Ovis aries: one gene and its partner. The protein of the gene in region 2 interacts with the protein of the main gene of each other region in a biochemical or structural test. Links are inferred from orthologs where the notes say so. Each region holds a gene or a part of one and is shown on either strand. Other genes may lie near its edges.

Region 1 (3,648 bases), on a different chromosome or scaffold from region 2:
GGTCACTATGAAAATACATCACTTTTCCAGTTTGCTTAATAATTTACTTTAAAAAGTTGTGTAGTTTTCATCACAAGTGACATACAAATTTCTTAATAAGCATTTTTAAAAGTTTTAATGTATTTCTAAAATCTAATAGATTTTTTTTTTTAAACCTTTAGCCCTGTTGTTACATTTACTGTGTATCAGAGTAAGAGACTGAGTTTGTGTGAAGGATACAAATTTACACACATTTTACAGCAACTTACACCCTAACATCTACAAAATTCACATTTATAATACAAGCAAGTACAAGGCCAGGCTAAAATTGTTGAATTCCAAAAAGTCAAACTCATACTATTTTTATTTTGTCCCCTTAAAAAAAGTTCAACTTCGGCACCAAATTCAAAAAAGCCCTCTTAAGAAGTTTGGAAAAAATTTCCAAACATATTTCAGCAAACACAAACAGTTTTTCTGTGCTGGTGAAGTAAAGGATTCCCAATTTTCTTCTGGCCCCTGAGTCTGCGTCGCATGGTAAGTTTAACAGAGTTCTTGCGCTGGGAGGTTGTGGGGAGGCTTGCAGGCTGAGCACCACTGCTACGACTTAAACCATTCCGTCTGTGCTTCTTCATAAGAGGGCCAGAGTTGGATTCTTCTAATGTCCTTTTGAAGTTTGCCGGAGGGGTTCTTTCAACTTCTTGGGCTTTCATTTGACCTGGGCTCGGTATCTTCACATTTTTTTGGTCCATGATGGTGTTTGTTGAATTGGTAGGCCCCAGGCCAACAGACAGGCTATTATTCAAAGAATCATGTATCCTTAAAGTCAGGGCTTTAGTGCAATTTTCTTCTAGTGGCTCTGGATCTTTTGAGGATATGACTGCAGCCTGGACATTCCCTCGAGCTATCTCAGGTGGGACTTCTAAATAATTCTCTGAGAAGGCATTACTACGAATAAGGGCAGGTATATGGTCCTTGGAGTTCAGCCTTGGCCATGGGTCCTCCTCCAGGGGCTGAAAAACAAGAAGGTAAGACCAAGTGAGAAATAATTTATCCTAGAATTCAGCTTAACCATTGGGGAAATGAAAGGGTTTCATTAGAATAAATGACAAAATTGTTTACTTGGGGGGTTTATTTCCTACTTTCTATATTTAATTTCTGAATATTTAGTAGTGTGGAAAAAGTAAAGTGCGACACTAAAGCAATTCTGTCACAATGGAAATTCAGACTGTCGCTTTGTATCCATCTCCTGAACACTAGATGCTGTTCTGGGATTTGAGAAAATAGGATATATGGGAATGTGCTAAGTATGGCTAGGGCAACTTGCAAAGATACAAACAAAAATCATATGCAATTTTCAGGTGTTGTTTCTTAAAAGCTTCACAAGGAGGCACAGCTGTGCACTACTTTAGGTGCAGTGCACCAAAGCTAAATGTCGGAATATCCTCCCATCTCCAGACAAGAACATTCTTCCTATCAAATAAAAATCCTCCACTATTTTAATATTTTATAAAATCACTATTTCAATAACTTTCTCAAGGACAAATTTTAAGCATAAATACTTCCTCTTCCCCAAATGTGTGTATCATTTTCCTCAATCTTTCCTCTTTCAATCAAATCAAATTTATTAAAATATTTTCCGAAAATAAGTAAATCCTTTTGTATTTAGAATGGTAAATAAAGATATATTATTAGTCACCTTCTGATTTAAAATTCTCTAGGAATAAACACCTTTTGAAAAAGTACTTTATAAAAAAGCATATTTGTAAAAGTAATGTTTCCTTTAATGTTTCTAGAATTAAGAAGAAAAAGGGAAACTGCAGGAATCTAAAAGCATTTCAACTTAACCATAAGCATGAACATGCTTTACTAAGAAAAATAAACCGACTTTAGGTCCACTGGAGGCTAGAGATGAGAAACTCTGAAGTTCCTAACGTAGTACTGCCCCAAATAGAATACTGCTATGCTTTTTAGAATGCTTTTATTTATTTATTTGGCTGTGCTATGTCTTAGTTGCAGCATGCAGAATGGTTGCAATATGCAAACTCTTAGCTGCAGCATGTGGGATTTAGTTTCCTGACCAGGGATTGAACCCAGGTTCCCTGCATTGGGAACCTGAAGTCTTAGCCACTGGACCATCAGGAAAGACCCTTAAGCAAAAAAAAACCTAAGTATATTTCTTTCTTTCTGGGGTCACTGGTTCATTTATTTATTTTACATTGCATGGTTTATGGAAAGCCCAATTCTTATCTGTTTTAACACTGACTAGATGTTGGGCAGCAATCTTATTTTGAAGTACTGATGTTGAGAATGGATAACAGAACAGTCTCTATTCTCGAACATTCACATGTGGCTTTCAGCAATATCAACGACAACCTGTCTGTAAATTTATCCCCTCTGCATTAGGTTGATTCCAGTGCCTACCCTGATCACAAGCATATACTGACTGATCACAGAAAACTATACCTCACCATACGTAATTGTTGACTAAAGGTTCATCTTGCTTTAATATAAAAAAGGATTTGCAACAAGACCAGGCAGCAGATAAATTCTGTAGACAGAAGATTTCCTACTACCAAACAAGCACATTACTAATTTAGGGACAAGGAAAAAAGATACTAATCAGGCCACTTATAGGAAAAGAACATAACTGCTTTAGCTTGTACAACGAGGTTTAGACATTAGATGGAATTTCTTTACAAAAGAAAAACAATGGGATGATTTTAGAGTTAACACAGTTTGTTGTAATTTCTGTTGTGCTGTGTTCTTTTAAACTCACAAACTATTATTCTGATACCACAGGTGCACTGACTTTTCTTCCCCTACTTATTCTTTAACTTTTCCATTTCCTTCTCTTCTTATTGGCATTCTATGGGAATATACCGCATCTGTTTGCGCAGCCAACCGCTTAGACTTCTGAGACTCATTTCAGATTAATTACCACCTGTATGCTAAGCCTTCTTACATGTTCATAAAACACATGATATTGAGAGGTTACATCCTAAAAATTCACACTTGCAAAGATCACACTTCAGAGATCCACTTTGAGAGCTCCATATATTTACAATCCAACAGTAAACAGCTAATTACAAATTGTGCCTAGAATGCAACTGAAACTAAGTGCTAATCCTCTGAAAGAACTCTCTTCCTCATTCCTCCTTCCTAGAGCTCTTGGCTTACTTAAAAAACAGCTAAAATTAGTTTTGCCCTAAAGAAAGATGGAGAAAGAAAGGTGTGCCATAGTAATATATCACTTAAACAGAAGTATTTCTACTATTTTTGTCCCAAAACAAAGATTTGAGTACTGATTTAGCTGACAATTCAAACAGAAGTTGACATGTCTGTAGAAGTCTTAAAAACCATTCAAAATCAACCAAAATGTCATTATATTTATCTAGATGCTACTAAACACAGGATTATTATTATAACAATGAAATAAATCAGAGATACTCATGAGTAGCCATGGTTAACTAAGATAAAAGAAACAAAACAAAACACAATCTCTTGAGCAGAAATCTGTCTTTATTTACTTGTTAGGCCAGAGCCTACAATAGTGATTATTCTGAATGGCTCTAAATATTTTTTCATATTTAGGTGTGGCTAAATGGTTAACAAATAACCATGCCTACACAGAAGTTAGTCCATACATAAATCTCCTAATCTTTACTTTAG
Region 2 (3,439 bases):
AGCAGAGAACCTTGGGCTACTGACGGTGCGCCACAGTGAGAATGAGGATGGTGCCTTCACTGAATGTAACAACATGACCCTCATCAACTTGCTACTTAAAGTCTTTGGGCCCATGCATGAGAGAAACCTCACCCTCTTCCTGCTGCTGCTACAGGTGCAATGCTATTGGGGGTGTGGTTTACACTTCCTTGTCTCCCTCTCTCCAGGGTTCTTACTATAGTTCGTTTCTCCTTGCAGGTCGTTGGTAGTGCTGTCACCTTCTCCATTCGGTACCAGCTTGTCCGACTCTTCTATGATGTCTGAGGCCCCGATCCATTGCCCTTTGCTTCACAGCCTCCGGGGTTACTGACTCAGGCCAACATCTCCTGGACCAAGACTGCCAACTAGCCCAGGCCTCTCCCACCCTTCATTTTCCTCCAGATTTTGTTCTCAGCATTTCCTTTCCCCTGTGATTATTGACACGTGGGCCTGTCTCACTCTCTAATGACTGGTGATTGGACTTTGCCTATGGCTTTCTTCAGCTTGCCACTCTCCCTCTCCATCCCATCTTTGCTGCCTCCTAAGTTGGGGTACTGTAGCTTTTATGCAATTGCCCACAACTCTGACACTCAAGGAGAATGCTGGACTTGGGGACAGAACCCTGGCTGGGGATAGAGACACAGGTTCAAAGGTGACTTGACATTTGACTATAAATTAAGTATTCTGATGATTAAGAGCAGACCGGGGGCCAGGTGCTCCCAGTGGTGACAATAAAGTATTGTCTTTTTCTTCTTGTTCCTATAGGTATATTTCCTATGTGGGCATTGTAGGGTGGATGGGGAAGGTTGAAGGAGGTATTTCCTCGGAGAGGATGCCTATCTCTGTCCCATCCTTTTTTCTTTCTTTCTTTTTTTTTAAGCACATCAGGCGCCTCCTAGCAAGAAGTGATCAGAAAGAACAGACCAGACAGAACATGTTGAATAAATGTGAAATCTGCTGCTTGGGTGGCATAAAGGGCCATAAGATTGGGGTTATCTGTTCTCTGGGGTAGGGTTGGACTTTAAGTGGGGGTCTCATTCCTTCCCTTTTTCACTCTTCTTTTGCCAGGTAGGAGGAGGGAGTGACCAGACCTAGGACGGGAGGCAGAGGTAGTTGTGGTGTTGACTCTTTTCCTTTAAAAATCTTAGGCCTGCCTTGCGCAGACTTCCCAGACGCTCTTGAGGTGGCTTCCGATTCTACCCTTCTTGTCTTCCGGTTCTGGTCTCGGGCTATAGCGTTTAAATCTGGCGCGCTTCACTTGGATTGGCTACAGCCGAGACTGGCTGGCTGTCGGGTAGTCTCTGCGCCTCCTCCCGTGTTCCCCGGGCAAAGGGTTTTCAAATTCGGCCAATCGGCGGACGCGTTCCCTCAACTGGGGCGCGTCACCGAAGAGTTAACCTCAGCCAACCAGAGGCGGGTATTCGAGAAAAGAGCCAATCAGAAAGGCGCGGGGGTGTGCCCTGAGGGGCTTATAAGGGCAGCCCGTGGTCGCGCGCGGAAGCGTTAGACTGCGGCGGGTGGTTGTTCCTGTGTTTTGTTAGCCGTCCTCACCGCTCCTCTACCTCATACAGCATGTCTGGCCGCGGCAAGACCGGCGGCAAGGCCCGCGCCAAGGCCAAGTCGCGCTCTTCGCGAGCAGGCCTCCAGTTTCCCGTGGGCCGCGTGCACCGGCTGCTGCGGAAGGGCCACTACGCCGAGAGGGTGGGCGCCGGCGCGCCGGTCTACCTGGCGGCGGTACTCGAGTACCTCACCGCCGAGATCCTGGAGCTGGCGGGCAACGCGGCTCGCGACAACAAGAAGACGCGGATAATCCCCCGCCACCTGCAGCTGGCCATCCGCAACGACGAGGAGCTCAACAAGCTGCTGGGCGGCGTGACGATCGCCCAGGGAGGCGTCCTGCCCAACATCCAGGCCGTGCTGCTGCCTAAGAAGACCAGCGCCACCGTGGGGCCGAAGGCGCCAGCGGGCGGCAAGAAGGCCACCCAGGCCTCTCAGGAGTACTGAGGGCGCCCGTGCCGCCACCGCCCAGCCCTCCCCTCTACACCACAAAGGCCCTTTTAAGGGCCACCACAGCACTCACAGAAAGAGCTGGGCCACTTCGGGCTCCCGGCCTGGCGGCCGCGCTGTCGCCCCTTCCCGGCCCGCCCCTCCCCCCCGCGGCTGGCTCCCGCCGAAGCCCGGCGGAGGGCGTGCGTTCGAACGCCGCTCGGCCCCGGGAGCGAGCTCGTGACTCGGCCGGCTTGGCCCCAGAATGCCGATGGGCTGCGGGGAGGCCGCGGCACCTTCCGGAAAGCCGGGCCGGGGAGTGCGGGAGGAAGGTGAGTCGGTGCGGACGGTCGCCGCCGAGGCCGTGCGCTCTGCTTCAGCTCGGTGCTTAGTACAGGACTCGATTGTCGCCGCCGGCGGAGTCAATCGGTTGCTTCATTTCGTCCCAGGACCCCTTTTGTTGCCGGATCTCGGGCCTCGCACGTCCGCGTTCCCTCCATCTTCATTCGCAGGCCTGTGCGCGTACTGGAAGAAACCCTTCGCGGCGTGACCGTCTCCAATACTAGCGGGTCCTGGCGGCGTGGGGTCTGCGGGAGCCCTGCCTCCGGGCCCGCCCCTCCTCCCCACTCCCTTCCCGTCGGGTCCATTCCGCCTGCCAAGCACCTAGATACCAGCACAAGTCCGTTAATCCCCGTCTGGACTGAGCCGCCTTTGGCTTCGGAACTGGAATTTTGCAGCTAACCCATCCAAAACTAGTACTTTAGGTATTGGGGGGAGTTTCAGATGGACTAATTTTATTAAAGGGTTTTTTCCTAAAGAAAAGTGAGTTGTGTTCATTTTGCAAAAGGGTTGTAGAGTCGACTCTGTAGATACCTAAAGGTAGTGGGGGAGGGGAACCGATATAAGGCTTTACTGTTAACTGGAGCGACAAATTGTAGATTATTAAGATGATGGCTTTCTTGGCGTTCCCTGGGAGACACTCGATTCTGTCAAAAAATGGGAACTACTGACAGAAGGCGTTTTTCAGGAGAACTTTGAAAGGGTCCTAGCCTCAGAGATCAGGCATAAATAAAGAGTTTTGAGTTTGTCCTTCCTTTTCTGCAGCTCCACCAAAAACAAAAACCACCTTTAAATTTGGTTTATTAGTAGAACTGGTTACATTCAAAGGCTGTGGCTTCTTATTAAGATTTTTTTTTTCTCTAGAGAGGAAGCCCCCTCCTTGCCTCCTGGGGAGGCAAGGCCCCTCGGTGAGACAAGTCTCTGGAAGTCTCTGCCCCTGCAGTTCAATCCTGTGGGGGTAGCCACTCCTCAGGTAGCAGAGGGCTGGGATGTAGGCACTGGACACCAGCAAGGCAGGCACCTGTGCCCCACAGACCAATTAGTGGGCTTCATTGAGCTGCCGTGCAACATCCAAGATATTCTTGGCTCCTTTGTT

What was found. The genes of interacting proteins can lie anywhere in the genome.
Region 1: of the proteins of histone H2AX (region 2) and PPM1D, one has a biochemical effect on the other in vitro, tested with the Homo sapiens proteins (3 studies listed by BioGRID and IntAct). The link is inferred for Ovis aries from reciprocal best matches to the Homo sapiens genes H2AX and PPM1D.

Annotation. Positions count from the first base shown.
Region 1 is NC_056064.1:12,011,782-12,015,429, forward strand, and holds part of PPM1D (protein phosphatase 1D), read right to left. Parts: intron 990-3,648; coding exon 432-989; 3' UTR 1-431. UniProt on the Homo sapiens protein: Involved in the negative regulation of p53 expression. Required for the relief of p53-dependent checkpoint mediated cell cycle arrest.
Region 2 is NC_056068.1:29,402,716-29,406,154, reverse strand, and holds histone H2AX, read left to right. Parts: upstream 1-1,517; 5' UTR 1,518-1,590; coding exon 1,591-2,022; 3' UTR 2,023-2,826; downstream 2,827-3,439. Other genes in the region: DPAGT1 (UDP-N-acetylglucosamine--dolichyl-phosphate N-acetylglucosaminephosphotransferase), read left to right, coding at 1-154, 238-303; HMBS (porphobilinogen deaminase), read right to left, coding at 3,439-3,439. UniProt on the Homo sapiens protein: Variant histone H2A which replaces conventional H2A in a subset of nucleosomes. Nucleosomes wrap and compact DNA into chromatin, limiting DNA accessibility to the cellular machineries which require DNA as a template.